3 linked regions of the Kluyveromyces lactis genome follow. Each later gene encodes a partner of the first gene's protein in a complex. Links are inferred from orthologs where the notes say so. Each region holds a gene or a part of one and is shown in the gene's direction. Other genes may lie near its edges. The genes, in order: MRPL35, MRPL17 and MRPL31.

Evidence for each region.
Region 2: MRPL35 (region 1) and MRPL17 share a complex: the UniProt entries of both Saccharomyces cerevisiae proteins name them as parts of the mitochondrial large ribosomal subunit. The link is inferred for Kluyveromyces lactis from reciprocal best matches to the Saccharomyces cerevisiae genes MRPL35 and MRPL17.
Region 3: MRPL35 (region 1) and MRPL31 share a complex: the UniProt entries of both Saccharomyces cerevisiae proteins name them as parts of the mitochondrial large ribosomal subunit. The link is inferred for Kluyveromyces lactis from reciprocal best matches to the Saccharomyces cerevisiae genes MRPL35 and MRPL31.

What each region holds. Positions count from the first base shown.
Region 1 is NC_006040.1:1,119,467-1,122,659, forward strand, and holds MRPL35 (mitochondrial 54S ribosomal protein mL38), read left to right. Parts: upstream 1-1,478; coding exon 1,479-2,570; downstream 2,571-3,193. Other genes in the region: KLLA0_D13068g (M1 family metallopeptidase), read right to left, coding at 1-396; KLLA0_D13079g (uncharacterized protein), read right to left, coding at 688-954. UniProt on the Saccharomyces cerevisiae protein: Component of the mitochondrial ribosome (mitoribosome), a dedicated translation machinery responsible for the synthesis of mitochondrial genome-encoded proteins, including at least some of the essential transmembrane subunits of the mitochondrial respiratory chain.
Region 2 is NC_006039.1:256,906-259,804, reverse strand, and holds MRPL17 (mitochondrial 54S ribosomal protein mL46), read left to right. Parts: upstream 1-1,520; coding exon 1,521-2,312; downstream 2,313-2,899. Other genes in the region: Nrd1 complex RNA-binding subunit, read left to right, coding at 1-1,203; TEX1 (Tex1p), read right to left, coding at 2,520-2,899. UniProt on the Saccharomyces cerevisiae protein: Component of the mitochondrial ribosome (mitoribosome), a dedicated translation machinery responsible for the synthesis of mitochondrial genome-encoded proteins, including at least some of the essential transmembrane subunits of the mitochondrial respiratory chain.
Region 3 is NC_006041.1:1,082,224-1,084,269, reverse strand, and holds MRPL31 (mitochondrial 54S ribosomal protein mL60), read left to right. Parts: upstream 1-1,070; coding exon 1,071-1,460; downstream 1,461-2,046. Other genes in the region: APL2 (Apl2p), read left to right, coding at 1-244; CMC1 (Cmc1p), read right to left, coding at 422-733; kinetochore-associated Ndc80 complex subunit SPC24, read right to left, coding at 1,538-2,046. UniProt on the Saccharomyces cerevisiae protein: Component of the mitochondrial ribosome (mitoribosome), a dedicated translation machinery responsible for the synthesis of mitochondrial genome-encoded proteins, including at least some of the essential transmembrane subunits of the mitochondrial respiratory chain.

The sequences.
Region 1 (3,193 bases):
CATTACCTTATTTTCACCGGTAACAAAATCAGTATAATCTGAACGGTAGAATCCAGACATATTAGTCTGAATCATACCCTTATAATCGATCTTCAACACGAATTCATCATCAGATATACTCTCCGGAAATTTCAAGGAAACAACATCGTTCTCTAAATCGAAACTATGGTCCTTCATTCCCAAAGACACAGACCCCTCTTTCAGTTCAACCACCGCAGAAACGATCTCAATGTCCCTCATATTCAATGAAATCATGTCATTGGCATTAACAGTGGACATAATAATACGCACGGATCCGATAAATGAATTGTGCTCAGCATCTAACTCACTCAATTCAATCTCATAATGGTTGGCCCTAAAGTCGGTTGGTAGAGTTTGAATCTTAACGTCAGCCATCTTTCAGTGAATCAGGTATAAACTATTCCAATACCTAATTGGTTCTCTGGATATATCACCCCAGTTGTCTTATATAGTGAAAAATCCAATATGAAATCAAAGAGTAGGTGTCATTCAAAGCTTTATCAAAGGTCTTAAGTGTTATCAATCTGTTTTCGTCAATGTGTCAAAATTTTTTTCTACCTTCCCTGCTGAAAAGCTCAGAAGTGAGCGTAGAAATTTTGATATAAGACGGAGTAGTATGAAAAGAGAAGCTCCTCCATTATCCAGCAGCACAACTGCTCATACGTTTCACCTCTTGTGTAGTTTTGGCAGTAGTTTCTTTGACCTATTAAACATTTTGCGCAGTATTGAAGAAGACCGTCTCTTTAGCTGATCTCCGACATCAGAGTCAATTGAGTCGCTTATATCAGAATCGGAGCTGAACATAGAGGGAAAAGCTCTCTCTGTTGGAGTTTGTGTATCAAACTGCGAGTAAACTTGAAGTTTAGATATTAGTATGGTAACTGCCTCGACATCGTGCCTTAACTCTGTAGAATTCGGTTCTGAACCGTTCATATTTGATTTAATAAGCTTTTGAATATTATACAGGATAATACAGGGAATGAGAAGTAAACCTACAATGCTGATTGGCAAAGGGTCTTTATACCAGGAAAAAGTTGAGGCATCTTGTCTTTACAGATCTGAAACAATGTCGCGATGAGCATTCTCATATAAGATTCGTCGTTTCAAACATAAATGATCATTATAATCCGCATATAGGAAAGGGAAGAAGAAAATATACAAAGAAAGATGGATATGATGGGTTCGCTGGATCAGAAGAGCGTCATTTGCAACATATGAAACCGAATGGCAGTCTCAAAGGCAAAGCTTACCAGTTATTGATCTCTGAACTTCCACTTGGAGCGAGAGGCACGATCTTCTGTTACCCGGACTGAAACACATTAAAATTTTTTGGTGAAAAATCGATTTCGAACGATTCAGATGAGTTTTAAGTATGAACGGACAATGAAGATACATGAATAATCAGTTGTAGGATCCCATTGGAGGGTGTTTCAGAGACTAACAACTCGAATTGGAGAATGTTGCGTAGAGGGTTGCACAGCAGTGCCAAATGTTTAGAGAAAACCGGGGTATGGTCGGACTTTTCTAAGAGATCCAAGTCGCTTGGTTTAGCATCAGAATCGATTAAGAAATACATCTTTCAAGGCGACAGCGATGACGTTAGAAGACGAGGTCCACCGTCTTTGAAGCGGAGGATGAACCGTTTGAAGTATACCTCTCCTGAACATATTGATGAGATGTTCCGCTTGAGTTATGAGTTTATGAGTAAGCGCGCTGAAGAGAAGTATTCGCAACTAGAAAATGAGACTGATGCCAAGGTACGTGCTAAGTTAGAAACAGAGGCTGAATTGCATAACCCAGAGGTCCAATACAATTTTCAGTATCATGACAAGTTAGAGAACGATACTAGAGTGATAGATTATGCTGTTCCAGTGTACAGGCGTTTGGGGCTGAAGCATTGGGAATCCTACGAAAAAATGTTGTTAATGCAAAGACTAGAGACTTTGAGTGTAATCCCCGATACGTTACCTACTTTACAACCAAGAGTACAGGTTAATTTACGTTTCCCATTCAGTACTGGTGTGAACAAATGGGTTGAACCTGGTGAAATTTTGTCCTCCAACACGACTTCGATGGTTCCAACAATTAAGATTCAAGAGTACGAGAACGGTATCGACTTCGAAAAGCAAAAATACACTGTGGTAATTGTGAATCCAGATGAACCGGATGTGTTGAATGATACATTCAAGACGACTTTGGCGTTCGGTTTGACTAATTTAAAGATAGACTATAACGACAACGTGGTAGATCCAAGAAAATACAATGAATCGCAGATTCTTGCAGATTACATTCCTCCAGTACCTGAGAAAAATGTTGGCAAGCAAAGGTTCTCTGTATGGGTATTCAGACAGAATGGTGATTTGGAATCCCCTGAACCAGTCGATAGAGAAAACTTCGATATTAGAGAATTTGTTCGTTCCCACAACTTGGACCCGGTTGGTGCTCATGTTTGGAGATCAGAATGGGATTCTAACGTGGCAAACATTAGAGAGAAATACGGATTACCAGAAGGGAGAGTGTTCCATAGAGTTCGTAGATCTGTTGTATGAAAAAAAAAATGAAAGTTTCCAGAAAGAGTTTATTTCCTCCTCGTCTCTCTCGCGATATATATGATTACACACTTTTCAACAACCTCAGGTGGTCTGAATAATATCTCATACCTCATGTAAATAATATGCAATGTAGAAAATCAATGCAACATACGCAAATCATAAAAAAAACTAAAAAGCTTGTTCGAATCTATTAAGAATATGATCATTAGTTAACATTTATTCCCGGTAACATAATAAATTATATAGTAATAATACGGTGTATGGTGCGTGCGTTCATGTGCGTCTGTTTTTTTGGACTGCCTCTGATTGAATATTTTCCTAGAGGCTATATATAGAATCTTCTTTTTTTTTGGCTGTTTCTTCTTCATATGTTATTGTATTGGCTGTAAATCTAATCGTAACAAAAAAAAGGATTCGTGAGGTCTTTCGTTCTTAGTCGAGGAAAGCAGATATAACTCTTGTTGTCATCATTTCTTGTTGACTACCAGAATTCAAACAGAGAATACAACCTTTTATTTTTCTATTATGCTTCAGCTCGGAGTTATGCATACAAGTTCCTTTCCCTTGTTACACAAAAGAGAAAAAAGAAGAATTAAACACACCTCTCCTTATTTCATAAG
Region 2 (2,899 bases), on another chromosome or scaffold:
CTAGGAAAGTTGCAAGTTGAACTGACAAAGAACCAAAAATTGGTTCAAGTAAACAAACAGGCTCCTCGCTCGATAGATAATTCTACCTCTTCTACCTCTTCATCGTCAAGGTCTACTCGCTCAACGCAGTACGTTGGAAGAGACTCCAGAAATGACAGATCTAGATCACCCCCAAGAAACAAAAATGACAGATCTCGAGCACAGGCAACAACTTCTCTGCATTTATCTAGGCAACAGCAGCAACAACAACAACAACAACAACAACAACAGCAGCAGTCAATTAATGGTCAACAAGGAAATAACCATCATTTGTACCCAGATGAGCAGAATGTTCCCTCAAACCCTCATTTTAGGCCAAAACCGGTATCCTTTGATCCAACTGTGCCAAGGGACCACGTAAAAGTATATTCCAGAACCCTTTTCGTTGGTGGTGTCCCACAAAATTTCAAAGAACATGATATTGCAAGAATGTTAAGACAATTCGGTGAGGTTCAGAGTGTTATTTTGAATAATGCCCGTAAGCACGCCTTTGTGAAAGTCTATTCAAGAGCAGAAGCGGAGAGGATCATGGCGCATTTCACTGGTGGTGGCAATCCGACACATGGTTTGAGAATCCGTTGGGCCGTTGGTTTCGGTCCTAGAGACTGTTGTGACTATCAATATGGATATTCAATCATCCCATTGGCCAGGCTAACCGAAATTGACTTCAAATGGTCACAGTCCGCGGAATGGGGTGGTACTGGTGGTCAACCAATCCAAACAAACATGGTTTATGAGGAGCCCGATATTATTGTTGGTGAAGGTGTTTCATCAAAAGCGATTTCGCAAAAGATGCCAACTGATAAAGGTGTTTTGGGTCCCAAGTCTGGTAAAGTTGGTCAAGCTACTGCTGTCTCTCAAACACCTATCCCCTACAGTAATATATCTCCTCCTCCTCCTCCGGTTCAAACATCACAAATACCGAACGTTCCTCAAATCCAACAACAGTATTATAACCAGCCATTGTATCAGCAGCCTCCATCAATGGTATATGGTCAAAATCAACTGCTGGGATCGGCATCATCTGCGCAGCAGCAGCAGCAGCAGCAATCGCATCAGTCTACTCAACCTTCGGGCCAAAAATCTCCTCAACCCCCACAAAATTTCGATCCAACTGCGCAATTAAACACATTGATGAATATTTTGAACCAAACGCCAAAATAATGCTTATATAAATGCACTTAAATAATTTTCTGTATCTGATAGCCTTTATGCATATGCAATTCACTCACTACTTTGTTCTATTAGTGACACCACTTGGAAAGTTATCAAATCCGTATATCGTGATCGATTATTTCATATTGAAAAATTTTGGAATAGTAGGCATGAGAGGATGTTCAAACAATTTGAAAAATTATTGGAACATCAGCATCATGTTGAAATAGTGCCGCTTATCAGAATTGGGAAGCATATTCACCAGCTGTCAATCATCGTGTATATTCAGTCAGCAACCCTCTTCATCGACACAATTATAAATAAAAATGTCTGTGAAAGCAGCAGCAAGCTCGATTCCCAAGGCAGTAAAGGCAGGTTTGGTACTTTCTCGTGTTCCAATCGTCACTCCAGAATTGAATGCACTAGAGAACAAGTACTACCAATACCAGGCAGAACTGGAAAGAAGACTAATGTGGACATTTCCATCTTATTTCTATTTCAAAAAAGGTACTTTGGCAGAGCGTCGTTTCCAGTCTGTACAGAAAGGTGTGATTAGCAAGCAGCCTGGTGTATGGTTCCCTAAAGGAGTGCCAGACGTCAGACATAACAGAGAAAGAAGTCAAAAGCAAGATATTATGCTACCAAGAGAGGCTTCAGAAGGTTCAAACAAGTCTGATGTCTCAAGGCCAATTGTTCCTAATTCCAGAACTACAAAGGCAGACGAAAATAACGATATTACTAGTTTAGACAGAAAATTGGACAGAACTCTGCATTTGCTTGTGAAGGATGACAAGGGAAGCTGGGTTCTTCCAAGTTTCCCGGTTGATATTGAAGCTAAGGAAGGAAAGAAAGCTTTACATGAGACCGCTGAAGTGGGATTAAGAAAAATCGGCGGAGAAGATATTAATACATGGACTGTGTCGAATACTCCAGCAGGTGTTCTACAATCTGAAAAAGATCTCCAGTTTTTGATCAAATCGCATATCATAGCAGGTGAATTCAAGTTAAAGGATGAAAAGTCAATCAAAGAATTTGCATGGTTGACAAAAGATGAAATCAAGAAAGCTGTTGACGAGAGATATTTCAATAGTATACAATATGTTCTTGCTGAGAATTAACATATTATCATCAAACACAGAAAGTATTGGCATGATTTAATCACTATATATATATGTAAACCCTCCTGTAAATACTGCTTCGGATAGAAATTCCAACCCGTATCGAACACTAAAAGATAACAATCATATACATATTGCTGAACTCTGATTGATTTTAAGATTGGAACATTATATACTTGTAAGAATGCTAATTAACTTTTAAATCTATCACCATCTATCATTTGGCTTTCTAAAAGAAGACCCTGTGTTGGAGCGACCAAACGACTTCTCACTGAATTTATCAGCATCTCTCTTGTATGGTTGTTTGCGCAGCTCTTTATCCCTCTTCCCGCGCTGTGGTGTGTCTCTTTGAGTTCTACTGCTCCGATCGGTGCTTTTCTTAACAAAATCATTTCGTTTACGATCATCGGTCGATACCATAGTTTTCGGTCTGCCTGAACGTAAATCAACCATTGTCATTTTATCAAGAGCACCAGTGGTGTAAAATATTAAGCACGACTTTGACCACTTGATTGTGGAACGTGATGAATTTTTAACCACCGTGTTGTATAGGATAGACAAATCATTGTACCAATAGAGACTTAAAA
Region 3 (2,046 bases), on another chromosome or scaffold:
GGATAAGGATATTGATGAATTAAAGGGAATGGCCACGAACGAGATCCTGAAAAACATGAACGATGATGTACTACTTGACATGGGTGATAGCTCTGCCACGAGAAGTACAGGCGTCCTGGACGAACTAAATGATCTTTTCGATATCACTGGTGATATGGGGAAAGTAAACATTTCACAGAAAACCAATAATAACAACAACAACACCTCGAATTCCCATGCAACCGATCTTCTAGACTTAATGTAAACTAGTTTACTCTTTTGAACACCTGTACAAACTATAATTATAATGGGAAACAATGAAGCAGATAAACTTCAATCATGGATGTGCCTTTCTAAAATGTTAATTTATTATGGTGCAGTATCTACTACTATATACAAGTAACCCCAGTGGCATGTCATGTCATGTCATATCATGTCAACTTTATTCCTTTTGTTTCTTGAGAAGATCCTCAAGTCTCTCAATCTTACGTTCCACTATCAAGTCACGTTGACGATCCAGATTAGAATCCTTCTGGTATGATAATATACATTTGCGCATAGCGTCACGAGGTTCGTTACACGCTGGGAAAAGCTTCAATCCATGAATCTTTGAACATTCGACCATGGCCTCCACGTATTCTACACATTGTGCATATGCAAATTTCTTCAAATTCTGACGAGCTTCTTTCTCCTCGGTAGGGTTCAATACCCAAATTGGTAATCTTTGATTATGCTTTCCAACGCCCTCTGACATTTCTAAATGAATAATCTATCTTTGTGGTGCAGTATTCCAGTACTATAAGAACTTCTGACCTATGGTTATGGACACAGCAGCAGCTACAAATGACAATACGCTGGCTGTTCCCCAAAATCGTTTAAATCAGTTGACATTGTTCATTTGCATAATGTTGAGATTTAAAGCTTTTTCATGGATACTTTGAAAAATTTCGAAGGTTTAAAAGATTTAATACCATGAATTACGGTGGGAAATTGGTAAAAGCCAGCCAGTAGCACCGTTATACAAACTGTTTAAGCAGCTCGTTAGGTTCTGTCATACCCGGGTCAATTGAATATCTTTGTTTCATAGAGAAATGTTCGGTGCATTCAGAGCTACACAACCTGCATTAGGTGGATTATTATGGAAAGTCCCATGGCGTATGTCTGGTCCTCAAAAAGCAAGACAAAGAGACCGTTTGAGAAGCGTTGATGATGTTCTTTCAACTCTTAAGTTAGGTCTTCATCTTGAAAGAAACCATATGGCGGTTTCTGAGGGATCTCAGCTGAATCTACGTAAGATTAAACCTCGTGTGAAGAGCTTACGTATTTTAGACAAGGCTCAGTATTTCCCAAAGGAACCGGAGATGTCTGCTACTGATAAGTACAGTGTATTCAACAGGTACTCGAAGGGATATAGAAAGGGTATACATAAAGTTCCCAAATGGACCAAGCTTTCCATCAGAAGAAACCCACGTCATTTCTGATTTGGATGAATCATCATTAAAAACTTCTATTATTACATAGTAAGTAGCCCCTGTACATAGTGAATAAAATCAAGGTATCATAGTTCATCCCAGATGTTGTGAGATGATGATGATGATGATAATGGACGGGCTTCATTCCTTAGATCGAGCAATTGGTCATTATATAGTGCTACGTCAAGGGAATGGAACAACTTCAACTTTAGCACACGTATCTTGTCATCTTTACCGATCGGTTCCTCATCAATCGTGTGGGCAGCATCAGTATCGTCATTGAGTAATTGTTTCTGTGTTTCTACGACCTTTTGAATACCCTCTTGTATCGTATCTCGAAGCTGGTTAATTTCCTGTACCAGTTTATCTATGTCTTGTTGCAATTTCGGTATGTTTAATTCGTCCTCTACGCGTTTCACTTGGCTTGTTTGCTCCTGAAAATTCTTTTTAAGTGCCTGCACTTTAGTTTGCTGTCTTTGCAGCTGTGATTGCAATTGTTTCATGAGCTCATTGTGGTGTGTTTGTTTCTCAGCCATCAATTTCGTGAGCTGTCTCATATTACTCTTGATCTCTTTAATATTAGAGACATCGCTTT